Caenorhabditis elegans: one gene and its partner. The protein of the gene in region 1 purifies or fractionates together with the protein of each later gene. This does not show direct contact. Each region holds a gene or a part of one and is shown in the gene's direction. Other genes may lie near its edges.

Region 1 (8,699 bases):
AGGGTTTTTTTTCGGATTTTGCGAAGTTTAGTGTACAGTGTACGAAGACAATTACTTTTTATGAAAATTTGGTTAAAAACTAATTTTTGTTGGTTGTCAAAAGGTTTTTGTTATAATAATTTTTTAACATAAAAAATTCAATTTTTATTTCAGTCAAATGGTAATAGAAAACATAATTTCTTGACGCAATTTTTGAGTATTTTGGAAGTTTCTCAAATTCGATCTTTTAAAATTTAAACATTTTTCCATACCAAAAGGATCATTTTCAACTTTCGTTAGCTCATCCATAGGTCTCATTCGAACACAAGTTACACCAGAAGACAATGATCCCATTTGACTAAGCTGATGTAGACTTAGTTCCCCAATTGACTTCGTTGATAGATTGTCGTTGAACTCAAGAACATCCTCAATGAAGCTTGATCTATACAAAAGTGGTAGACGTCCGTTGCTAAGTTGCCAGAATGCAAGTTTTCCACTTTGATAGAGTACAGAGACGGTTGATTGAGTGGTTGGACACAGTGCAGCTGCTACGATTCGCTGATTGTTCATTGGACGCACGCATTCTGTTTGACAGACCTGAGAGAAAAATATGGTTTATAAGAAGTTTTTTGGTGATTTTTTTTCAAATTTTAAATCTAAAAATGTCTAAACGCTGAAATCCTCATTACCTTATCCATCGAAAAACTGGCGTTCGGCTTTTTCTCCTCGGTTGGCTCAAATTTTGTAACTCGAAAAGTGGTTGCTCCATTCGAATGCACAGCGAACAAAGCATCTCGTCGACCGGTTGGCATCCAAGATACAATATTTGATTCGATGGGAACACGAGCAAGACAACACATTAATTCAGGATTGACTAGGTAGAGCTGAAAATGAGAAAATTGATTATTTAATTATTTATATTAGAAATGGCAACTTACACCAGAATTAATTGCAATAAAAACCGTATTTCGATATGCTTTGTGATATGTGATGAGGTAAATATTAGTGTTAGTGGAAGTTGTTGAATTGTCTTCTGAAGTTATTTGAAATAAATGTCCAGAGGAAGCAGGCTCCGAGAGAGCAATGTCGGAGCACACGAGTACTTTGTTTCCAGAACTGCTGACTGAAATTTACTGATTATTTAAGTTTCTTTTCGAATATTTTAATATTTTTAATTATTTTTTCATTAGGCTATTTTTTAAATTGGATCATAATTTTAGTTGAAGTCTTAGATTTTGCAACAACAAAAAAACCAAAAAATCCGTAAACAGGTTGGTTTATTTTTGATTTTAAAAATTATATTTAAAGCTTATTTTCAATATTAAAACAAAAACTTACATATCACATTTCTCAATGAAAATGGATCGACTGTAAAATCAAAAAGTGGAACATGGGAATATGTATGATTCCAGACTTTTTCTCCAGTCACCGTATTCCATAGAACAACTGTACTGGATGAATGAAGAACTAGAAGGAAATCTCGAGAAATGTCTTTCCATGGATACCAGAACATTTCTGAAACCTTTCAAAATTAAATTTATTTGAAGAAAAATATGAAAACTTACGGAGAACAGAGCTGTTTGGATGAGAGAATTTATTAATTTGTGCTGCAGTTACTGAATTAGAAATTATAATATGTCCACTAATATCAGAGGATGCAATTATTGGTTGTAAAGATGATGGTGATAAATCAGCAAAAGGCGATCGAGCTGGAGACCACCGGATCTGAAAAATAATTAAATTTCATTTATTAAGTTAACATGAAAACTCACAATATTAATGGCAGATTGATGATGCTCGATGGATTGTATCCTTTTGTATTGCATCACATCAACTACGAAAATCAAATTATGAGATCCATAAGCAATGAGACCCCCATCATTCCTAAAAATTAAACTTTTTTTATACGAAAAATTATTTGAAAAAGCAACCAGTCGATTGCATTCCTTCCATTGCTCGGATGAAGGCATCCAGGTACGGTATGTGGCATTTTAGAATATCATAAAACCCGGTTGACGACACGATGAGGCTGCAAATAAATCGATAAGAGTTGGTTTGTTTGCAGAGCAATACTCGATTTGGAAAGGGCAGTAACCTGTGGAGACTGTTAGAGAGTGCAAGAAAAAGACAACGAGAGATAAAAATGTAATGTTTTTTTGATTGAAATAATGAGGAAAAAACTAAAAAATTGTCTTTAGCTGTTCGAATTGAACAGAAAGTTGCCATGGGCAAACAATTGTTTAAAAAATGGAGAAATTGACAATTGTGAAAAAATGGCCTAGTTTTCTGATGAACTAGTCCGCAGTTGAAATTCTAGGCCATCTTGATTTTTTTTAACTAAAAAAGTTTCTTAACAGTTTTCCGCTTTTTTCTCACTGTACCAAACCATTTTCTTGCAGAAAATATGAAAAACCTACAGATTGGAAGTGTAAAAACTTTTGAAAATCCAGAGATCGCAGGTAAAAACAATTAAAATAGTTTAAAGGTAAAACTTAGTGCGTTCCAGGTGCGGACGATTTCGCAGTTCATCCCATTCTTCAAACGATTGCTGTTTCAACGAAAAATGAGCTTTTGCTGCTAGAAAACAATTTGGTGAGACTTTTGAAATATTTTTGTGACAAAATGTTGCGAAATTTTGCAGATCAGCAGCACAATCAAATGGGCCGAGCAACGCCGTGAATTGGAAGTGATTTCCTTGTCGGTAGGGAATTCATTTTTGAAATTTAAATATATCTAAAATCTAAAGTTAATTTTTTCAGTTTCGAACCGATGGAAATCAAATAGTGGTGATACTTGCTGACGGACGTGCTTTGATCGTTGAAGATGGGGAAGTAATGGATCTAGAAATAGCCGAACTGACCGACACAACTGTTTCAGCAGCCGAATGGACCGCCGATGAGCAAACACTTGCTCTTGCTGATAATCAAACCCTTTATCTTGCAGATTCTTCTCTTGTTCCTTTTGCAGAAAGGTATCTAAATTTAAATTGAGATGAACAATACAATTATAATTTTAATTTCAGACCACTCATCTTCTCGGAAAATGAAAGAAAATCTGCACCAGTTAATGTTGGTTGGGGCTCTGAGAGCACACAATTCAGAGGATCCGCCGGCAAACTTAAGCCAGGAGAGAAAATAGAAAAAGAAAAGGAACAAATCGAGCAACATTCAAGAAAAACGTCAGTGCATTGGAGATGGGACGGTGAAATTGTCGCCGTTTCCTTCTATTCAAGTCAAAATGACACACGAAATTTAACGGTAAGTTGGGAGATCAAAATTTTCCAAGTAATATAATACCTTTTTTTTAGGTTTTCGATAGAAATGGAGAAATTCTGAACAACATGAACATTCGAAATATCTACCTCTCCCATTGCTTTGCACACAAGCCAAATGCGAATCTTTTGTGTTCAGCTATCCAGGAGAACGGCTCCGATGATCGAATTGTAATCTATGAAAGAAATGGTGAAACAAGAAATAGCTATGTCGTCAAATGGCCGGCAAACCAGATTGAAGATAGAAGAATTATCGAGAAAATTGAATGGAATTCCACTGGAACCATTCTGTCAATGCAGACTTCTCTGGGAAAGAAGCATCAACGTAAGAGTTTTGCAAAGCTCCTAAATAAAAAATAAAAACTTTTCAGTTGAATTCTGGCATCTCTCCAATTACGAATTTACCAGAAAATGTTATTGGAAGTTCTCGGAATCAATAATTTGGAAGTGGAGTACTGTAGAATGCCAAAATATTGAAGTTCTTCTGGAATCTGGTCAATTCTTCTCAGTTCATATCACACCTACTGCTTCATTCTCTGACGTTATATCACAAAACGTTGTCGTTGCAACTGATGAACTTCGGATGTATTCATTGTGTCGGAGAGTTGTGCCTCCACCAATGTGTGATTATTCAATTCAATGTCTATCTGATATTGTCGCTTATACAACGTCAACTCATCACGTTCATGTTATCACATCGGATTGGAAAATCATTTCATGTATGGTGATCAAGGGTGTCATCGAAACAATTTTCGACCACAAAATTATGAAAATTTCAAGCTATTTTTCAAAAAAAAAAAGAGAAACTACAGTAATCCATTTTTTAGAAAAAAATATATTTTAGAAATTTTAAAAGTCCCTTCACATAAAACTTATTTTGCTTGTTTTGCAGTCAGCCAAGACACAGATGGATACAAATTCAACAGCGACCGTGCTTCAATTGATGAAGTACTACACACTGAGGTTACGGAAGGGATTATCTGTGGATTTGTGTACGATGAGCCATCAGAATCATACATTATTTGGAACGTTAGCCACGGAAAACATCAAATCAGTCGAGTTGGTGCTAATCCAGAAAAAATCTTCGAAGGAGAAAATATTGGGTGGATTGGAGTAAATCCCTCAAACAAGCACGTTGAAATTGCATCAAACGATGGAAAGTTTATTGACTTGAATACAAAAGAAGAATTGTTCAAAATTGACAAGTTCGAGTCTACCGAAGTGCATTTTATACAGGTTTGTCACGGAATATTGGTAAAATTCAAGTTTTTTGATTTCTTGAGACTCACGTTAGATGATATTTATGAATAAGATTTTTTTAGAACCATCACGTGATTCAAGTGGACAACTCGATGCTTTTCCTCGATTCGGAGCGTGTTTCCCAAGACGCTATTTCAATTTTAACTCGAGGCTCCGATATTCTTCTGATCGATTTCGATAATAAACTGAGATTCATTGATGCTGAATCAGGCAAAACTTTAGAAGACGTTCGTAACGTTGAAGCAGGCTGTGAACTTGTTGCATGTGATTCTCAATCAGCGAATGTTATCCTACAAGCTGCTCGCGGAAATTTGGAAACTATTCAACCACGTCGCTATGTTATGGCTCACACTCGTGACTTGCTCGATCGAAAAGAATACATTGCCTCATTCAAGTGGATGAAAAAACACAGAGTTGACATGTCATTTGCGATGAAATATAAGGGAGACGATTTGGAAGATGACATACCAATTTGGTTGAAAACTTCAAATGATTCACAATTCCTTGAACAACTTCTTATCAGTTGTACTGAAGTTTTCGAGGATGCAGGATCATCTCTCTGTATGACAGTTGCACGATATGTCAGAGATTTGTCGGATGCAGAAAAGACAAAGATGTTCCCACTGTTGCTTACTGCTCTGTTACGATCGAAACCATCGAAAGTTAACGATTGTTTGAAAGAAGTTCAAGAGCATGTTGAGAAAATTGGTAGGTTTTAGACCACGGGCGTCATCGAAAAATCAAAAAAAAAAATTAGAAAATTAGCAAATAAAAGGTTTAAGAACCCAAATTGAAAACCGACACCCTTGTTTTAGACTGAAATTTTGCAAATCTTGAAGAACGAACTTTTTTTTCAGCTGATCGTAAGGATGTCTTCACTCGAAACAGTCTACATCACATCTCATTCTTTGTGCCGGCTAAAGAGCTCTTCAACTGTGCTCTATCCACATACGATTTGAAGCTTGCTCAGCAAGTTGCAGAAGCTTCAAATTACGATCCAAAAGAATATCTACCAGTTCTAAACAAGCTTAATCGAGTTATGTGCACACTTGAACGACAATACCGTATTAATGTTGTACGAGAAGCTTGGATTGATGCAGTTTCCTCATTGTTTCTGTTGGATTCAAGTAAAGAAAGAGGTTCAGAAGAGACATGGTGGAATGATATTGAAGATATAATTCAAAGGGAAAAACTATATCAAGATGCACTGACCCTTGTTAAGCCAGGAGATCGAAGATATAAGCAATGTTGTGAGCTGTACGCTGCTGAATTGGAACGAAAAGTTCATTGGAGAGAAGCTGCGTTGTTTTACGAACTTTCTGGAAACTCGGAGAAAACTCTGAAATGCTGGGAAATGTCACGAGATGTTGATGGTCTTGCCGCATCAGCTCGTCGACTTGCAGTTGATGCTGGAAAGTTGAAGATTCATGCAATTAAAATGAGTACAACTCTTCGAGAAGCACGACAGCCGAAGGAATTGGCGAAGGCTCTGAAATTGGCCGGTTCGTCGAGCACTCAAATTGTACATGTTCTCTGTGATGCGTTTGAATGGTTAGACGCGAGTCGAGAAGTTGAAGTAGGAAAAGAGGAAGCGCTGAAAAAGGCTGCATTGAGCAGAAATGATCAAGTTTTGATGGATTTAGAACGAAGAAAAACTGAATTCGAGAACTACAAAAAGAGATTGGCTGTAGTTCGAGAGAACAAGTTGAAGAGAGTTGAACAGTTTGCAGCTGGAGAAGTTGACGATTTGAGAGATGATATTTCAGTTATTTCCAGTATAAGTTCAAGATCAGGATCATCGAAAGTTTCGATGGCGTCGACTGTTAGAAGGCGGAAGCAAATTGAAAAGAAAAAAAGTTCACTGAAAGAAGGTGGTGAATACGAAGATTCAGCATTGCTCAACGTGCTTTCGGAGAATTATCGATGGTTAGAGAATATTGGAAGTGAGTTTTGCTTTCCCTGGAATTTTAATATATTGTGACATATTTTCAGATGAGCTATCCCAATTGATTCTAGTTTTGATAACAGTTGGAAACTTCCCAGAATCTCTTAAATTGAGAAGCGCTTATGATGAATTTGCCACGAAGCTTCAGAAAAGCAAAGCTGCAATCTGGCCTGAAAGCCTGTCGGTTCAGCATCTTCCAGGACCACTTCATGCACTGGTAATTAAATTTGAAACGCTAAAAAATATTATCAAAATATATAAACTGACATGTGAAACGTGGCTTATTTTTTATTTTGTTTTTTATTTAAGCTCCTCCCATTTTTTAAAAATAAACTAATAAATTAAAATTTCAACGAAAGGTCAGGAATGGGAGGAGCTCCTCGAGGAGCTTAAATAAAAAACAAAATAAAAAAATCCACGTTTCACATGTCAGTTTAAATATTTTGATAATACTAATTGTGTAAATTTTCAGTTTGACCCAAACCAAGAGCCGTCGCCTATCCCAATGCCTCCCATATTCCGGCTTGAACCTGAACTTGTCGCTCCTACATCTTCATTTGCTTCAGTTTTCCCATAAATTGTTGATTTTGTTTTCTTGTATTGTTCTGTTGTTAACCGTTCTCTTGTTATTGGTAACTAAAGTTTTTATTCACAAAATTGTTCAACTTCATAGTTTAAATTTTCTCAGCAAAGGAAATATGGAAGAAAATGTTCTGTAAATTTTATTTAAATTATTCAAAGAAATTGAAAGACATTTTTTTTGGTAAAATAAAAATTTTAAATAATGCATTTCTAGGCTTCCTGAAATTAATTCTTCGCGCGCGAATGTCTCTTCGACTACAGTATTCCCGAAACCTGCACATCAAAGTGACAAAATGCGTTGGCAATTATTTACTTTTTTTGTAATTTTTGCCTAAATTTCCCGCTAAATAAATCGTGTTTTTTAAATTTAAATGAACTTTGATCCTTCTCCTTTTTTCCATAATTTGTTAAATATTTATGAAAACATTCAATGATTTTCAGCACAGCTTCACAATATGAGCAAAAAGGTGGATGGTACGTAATTAATTAATAAAAAATTTCGGTAACAAGCAACACCTATTTCAGATCTCGATCCTTCGGAGCTTGCTGAATTGACTAATGTCCTTCACCAAATAATTGAAGAACCTAGAGGTCGTGTCAGACTTGATGAAAAGCAGCTCGTCGTCGTAAAAAAAGCTGTACGGAACTTATTAATCAGAATATTATTTTTGGATCATTTTCTACTTTTCAGTACGATTGCAAAATAATCGAGAGAAAACTTGGTAACGCTATTGCATTCAACATCGAGCAGCAAAAGATCGAAGAGGTGAAACGAGAAAAAGATCGACAAGCGAAGGAAAGAGAAAAGAAACCTATCCTTCCCAGTAATAAAGTCACTCGTGTCACGTTCAAGGAACAGGATGTGAGTCGTTCATATATTTTTGAAATTTTCATTAAATAAATGTTATTTTCAGCTTTCGATTTCATTCTCCTGCGTCCAAATTAGTAGCCCAACTACCAGCAATGGCGGGAACCAACAAATTGCGAATAGATCGATGCTAAAAGCGAGTCCAAACACTACAAACGTTGATTATATCTCGTTCATATCGGAAGATGGTGGATGTGAGTTGTTGCGGGGTGTTGATGTCCCGGCAAGATTTTAAGCTATTTTTAAAATCACTGCTGGAGATAGACTCCACTTTCCAATCGAAAATTATTGACCGAAATACATTGCAGATTTGATGATGAGAAATAAAACGTTTCCTGCGCCGGATCTACTCAAAAATGAACCCCTCGGATATCCATTGGGAGTTGCCTACGACGAGATCCGTAATGATTGGCTAATTTGCGATCGAAATATGAACAAGCTACTGATTATGAACGTCGAAAAAGAGGAAATACACGTATGCAAGGGTGCCATTCAAAATCCAACCGCTGTGATTGTGTTCAAAGAAGGAGAAAGTGCGGCCATTCTGTGTTCCGATAAACCTAAGAACCTTCACAAAATTGTTATTTACAACTTCAAGGATGGAGGCGATTCGATGAATGTGTTCGCATCATACGATGAAAGAATTTACGATATGAAGCATCAATTACGCGGTCTTGCAATTTCGGTTGCCGGAAATATTCTTTCTCTCGAATTGTCATATACATCGAAACGCCTGCGAGTTTTCAAAAAAGACGTTGGAGGACGCGGTTTCGAGCTTTCTGGAGCAGTTTCCC
Region 2 (4,849 bases), 510 kb from region 1:
TCTTGAGCCAAAGTGTACGTGAGGCGACTGTAAATTGAAGAAAATATTAATTTGTTTGAATTTCAATAAATTTGTTAAGATATTGTTTCGATACAATATTTCAGGAATTATTTCATAGTGATTTTGTATGATTTTTACAAGGAGCACCAATTTTTTATACGAAAAAGACTTCGAATGATTTTATTATTTTTAAAATCAAAATTGAAATCATCCAAAAATCCCTTTTTTTTGGAAGTTTTTTAGCTCTTCTTGTAAAATCATACAAAATCGCAACTCGTTGTTGTAAAACATACTAATAGTAAATCCAATTCTAACAGGTGGCAATCCCATTCTTCTTCTCTCTTTGCTCTCTCTTTCCTTCTCTTTTTCCCTTAATCGAGCTCGTTCCACATCTCCACTATTGTTAATTCCACTATTTCCACCACTTAATTCCAATATTTTTTTCTCTGGACTCTGTGCGGCTTCATTCAACATTGCTTGCTGTTGAGCTGCTGCGGCGGCTTGGAGGTCATTTAACATTGGATTAACACCATGTTGAAGAGCAAATGGATTAAGCAATGGATTTCCAAGCATAAGAAGATTTCGCTGAGCATTTGGATTTCCTTGTAGAGCTTGAAGTTGAGCAGCACGTTGTTGCAGTTGGAGCATATTCTGAGCATTTTGAACATTCATCAGTTGGGCTTGGTTGAGGCCTGAGAGATTTGGAAGTCCGAGCTGTTGATTTGGAAAACCTGGCGGCAGAGATTGTTGAAGAGCCATCAGATTTGGTGGTGGAGCTCCCAATGTTAAAGCTGCTGACGATGTTGGAACAATATGTTCGCCTGGGAACGGAAGACCAAATGGATTTCCTTGAGGTATCAAGACTTCAGCGAGTTTTGCGAGTATTTGAGGTTGAGTAAGCAAACTTTGAGCCAATCTAGAATTTGAAAAAAAAATTAGAAACATTCTGGAATTAAGAAAAAAATAAAATGCATCAAAAACTCACAACAGGACTTGAGCATGTGGCAGATTTTTCTGTTTCTCTGGTTGTGGTTCCTTTTCCTTCTCTTCTTCATCATCCGAGTATTCAAAATCTTTTGTTAACACATTCTGTATACTACTTCCATTAATCCGATTATTCTCCGCTAGAACTTCTTCTACTTTTTGACTCAAGGATCCAGCGAATATTTGAAGTGCTCTCTGGAGAAGATTCTTGTCCTTACTTAAAACTCCACTGCGATCTATGCCGAACTTCTGAACCAATTCCAACATTTCTCTCTCAGAAATAGTTCCAAGGAAGTAATCTTCAGAAAGCACAAAGTTCGGAATATCTGGGACAGATCTCAGAGCAGATGATGGTCCAGCACCGAGAAGTCCATCATCCGGATGTGGATTTGTAGGAGTACGAGATTTCGGTTGAGACGATGATGAAGACCTTTTTGGCTTTTTCTTGTAAACTCCGGAATAAATGCTCATATCAGCCTGTTTTCCCTTCACGGCGAGCTCAACTTCCTCGAAATCGATAGCTAAAAATCAAACTTTTTTTTTGAATTCTCCACCATAATTACTTACTTAATCCAGAAGCCTTGCACATCTCTCTCAGTGGTTGAATCTCTGATTCCTTGAAAACTTTATTGGACATCCACAAATTAAGAGTTCTAACTGTTCTCATTTTCTCTTTCTGTCCACACTTTAACAGCGGCATCAAAAACTTGTCAAACTGCTTCATAAACCGTGGGCCAAATGTGTCTTTTTCTTTAAGTTGATGTTTTGAAGCACGGACTATTGAATCGATTACATAGAGCACATTTAGACGTTGATCTGGCTTGCACTGAAAAATCATTAATAAAAATAAATAAATTATTTAATTTAAATTTCGATTTCTCGAAATCATTCTAACCTTATTGATAAGTTTTTCAACTGAAAAAACCACATGCTTATATTGGCTTTTTGCTTTGATCGCAGCCTTTGTTATATCCTGAATCTTGTTCTTGCTCATGTTTTTCGAGTCGAATAGTGACGACAATTCATTATTAAACGATTTCATCACTTCCGTCTCCATGGTGATCCCACTGATGAGAGTTTTGTTCTGAAAAAAGCCAATTCAAATTAAAATCGATAATGCGAAGCGAGAAAATAAACTGAATAAAAGGAATAGTGGAAAGATACAATTGCAGAATTAAGAGTAAAGGTGGATGTGCTAATTTTAACGAATAGCAAATATTCCAAACGCTTATTTTTGAAAAATCGATAAATGCGATATGTCGACGGTTTAAAATCCAATGTAAACTATTTTCCCACTAAGTTTTTTCATGATTTTGATACTTTTTCAGTAGTTGAATATAATTTAATAATTTATGTACAAATTCATCTAATTATAGCGTTTTGAATGAAAATAGGAAAGAAAGCCGGCATAAAAATGGTAAAGCGCCGAGGTCAACACTGTGCCGCACACTTGCAAAACGGCGTGCCAGGCTTGCCAACCGAAGACTCCGCCCACAGCTAATGGTACTCTCGCGCACACAATTGGCACTATTCTGAAGAATTTCATTGTAATATATAATAAAATTATCGATTTTTTTTTCAAATTAAAAAATTCAAAATATTCACATATGATTTAATAATAATCATTTTTTCAGTTTCACATGGCAGAGTCAAGTGATATTCCGAATGGTACTTACACCTTGACCCTCGGGAAGTCATTTGAAGTAAAAGGACGGAAAAGTGACCCTAAGGCAGAGCAATTTCACACGCTAAGATGTAGGTTAACTGCACAATTTTAAGATTAAATATATCAGAAATTTAAAAATATAAAATCGAAATAGCTAAAATTTACAGACGATTTCAAGCCAAGCTCTGTATCAAACAATGCCGACACCTTCATAGCGTTTGGGAACAGCGGTGATGTACATGTCTCTGTACCAAGCGAAGGAGACAATATGACTGTATATAAAGGATCGAAAAAAGAAGCAAAACCGAAAGAATGTCTTCTGTTCTTCGACAAAAAGACCAACACAGTTCGCTTGGAGAAAATTACGAGCAATATTAATGTAAAAAAGACGAGAGATCTAGATCAAGGAACAGAACTCGCATTGAAACGTGGAATCGAAAGATTGAGAACTTCTTCTAATAATCAGCGATCTGGACCATCTTCACCGGAGGAGAAAGCGAAAATTCAGAAACAAATGCAGAGAGATACATCAGATTCGAGTAGTGATTCTGATGGATCATCTGATTCCGACAAATCGAATGGCGATTCCAGTGATGATGAAGATGAGAGCGAGAAGATATTATTGGAAGAAATGAAAAAGCCCAAACCATATACAGAAAGAGAACCCGCACCGCCTTCGTCTTCAAATACCTACAATCACAAAGAAAGCCACGTGGCTCCCTATATATCAAGTAGTGGAAATAAAAACAAAGATTCTGAGGAGAAGTATGGATTGGCACTTAGCGAAAGCTCCGACGAAGATGACTAATTTTAAAACATAATATTATTCAGTGTATTCAACCGTCTTTCTTGTGTACTTGTACTAGTGGTGGCAGTTATTTGCTTCTGTGATTTTTTATTTATTTCAAAACCGGGCTATCTATCGCAATCATAAATTTTTTCATTCAGGCTATTCAACAGTTTTATTTTTTCAGGTTTTCTGTTTAATCCGTGCACTATTTTAAAGTCGAACTAAAGTTTCTCTGAAATTTTTAAAATTCGCTGAAACCATTTTATCAATAGAGCATGCTTCTTGCGCTAAACAGTGTCGTTTGTAGACGTCGATTTTATCTTCAAATTTCTGTGTTTTTCTCACATATTGTTCATGATTTCAGATGGAAACTCACCGGTATATTCCAGAACATGCCGTCCCAATGCCGATTTCAGCGCTATTCAATTCAACAAAAGAACGAATCGAGTACGGAACGGCAGACGTTGTTCGCGTTCAAGTGATGGGTGTAATCGAATCTGTGAAGTTCGGAGATTCTGATGTAGAATACATGATTACTGATAAAGATAATCATAATATTTTGGTTCAAAAAATCCTCACCGTTAGTCTGAATATATCGTGTAACATTGGAAAAAAGTATTAATTTCAGGCTTCTTTCACCGAAGAATCTGCCAAGAAGTTCAACGTCGGGGACCGTGTTGAAGTATTCGGAAAAGTTCGAATTTTGGAGAATGGAAAGAAGTTTTTGAACGCATTTTCGATGCACAAAGCTTCAGATGAACAATTCGCCGCTTTTCAAATAATCTGCCGTTTTTCAGAGAAGTTCTATAAAAAGGCAAGTTTCAGTGAATTTTTAAAAGCCAATAATTGCCCATTTTCCAGCACACACCTATCTTGCCAGCAGGCGCCAGCACCAATGTTCCTACTCGTTTCGGTTTGAAGAACAAAGTGGGAAGTTTGAATCGGTTCCCAATGGGAATGCTGGAACAATCATCTTCTTGCGAAAATAATATGGGAGTGTGGCCAACGGAAATTGAACAATTGGCAGCAGGAATATCGACAAGTGGACTTGTTAAAGAAGAATCAGATGTATCTGAGGATAGCAGTGATGATTCGGATGAAGAGGATGAGGAGGAAGAAGAAGAAGATGATGAGGAAGATTCATTTGATAAAGGACCAGTGAGCCTTGTGCCAATGGCTCGAAAGGAGAAGCCAAAAGAGGAGCCGGAACCAGAATATGATTCCTTCGAAAACGCCTGAATTTATAATATTCAGCTTAATTTTATTTTATCGTGTTCAATTTTCACTTATAGACATCTTGCCTTGTCTTTCATTCCACAATCTGTTTTATAAACTTTTATTTCTTTTTTTTTAAATAATTTCAATTTCTAATATGTTCCCTTAAAGGTTTTAAACCTTTTTTCATATCT

Evidence for each region.
Region 2: the proteins of elpc-1 (region 1) and eaf-1 fractionate together in Caenorhabditis elegans (co-fractionation; one large-scale study listed by BioGRID). This does not show direct contact.

What each region holds. Positions count from the first base shown.
Region 1 is NC_003279.8:5,112,532-5,121,230, reverse strand, and holds elpc-1 (Elongator complex protein 1), read left to right. Parts: upstream 1-2,378; 5' UTR 2,379-2,383; coding exon 2,384-2,438; intron 2,439-2,485; coding exon 2,486-2,571; intron 2,572-2,620; coding exon 2,621-2,680; intron 2,681-2,738; coding exon 2,739-2,950; intron 2,951-3,001; coding exon 3,002-3,236; intron 3,237-3,286; coding exon 3,287-3,575; intron 3,576-3,621; coding exon 3,622-3,969; intron 3,970-4,142; coding exon 4,143-4,486; intron 4,487-4,572; coding exon 4,573-5,218; intron 5,219-5,367; coding exon 5,368-6,453; intron 6,454-6,502; coding exon 6,503-6,672; intron 6,673-6,927; coding exon 6,928-7,032; 3' UTR 7,033-7,109; downstream 7,110-8,699. Other genes in the region: Y110A7A.9 (WD repeat-containing protein 11), read right to left, coding at 252-576, 669-863, 918-1,102, 1,318-1,494, 1,545-1,704, 1,752-1,863, 1,911-1,969; Y110A7A.15 (uncharacterized protein), read left to right, coding at 7,493-7,511, 7,563-7,675, 7,729-7,899, 7,952-8,099, 8,214-8,699.
Region 2 is NC_003279.8:4,600,599-4,605,447, forward strand, and holds eaf-1 (Ell-associated factor Eaf), read left to right. Parts: upstream 1-2,618; 5' UTR 2,619-2,624; coding exon 2,625-2,739; intron 2,740-2,817; coding exon 2,818-3,458; 3' UTR 3,459-3,598; downstream 3,599-4,849. Other genes in the region: nrd-1 (CID domain-containing protein), read right to left, coding at 1-27, 294-916, 986-1,505, 1,552-1,810, 1,880-2,041; D1007.8 (Nucleic acid-binding, OB-fold protein), read left to right, coding at 3,805-4,020, 4,069-4,254, 4,302-4,679.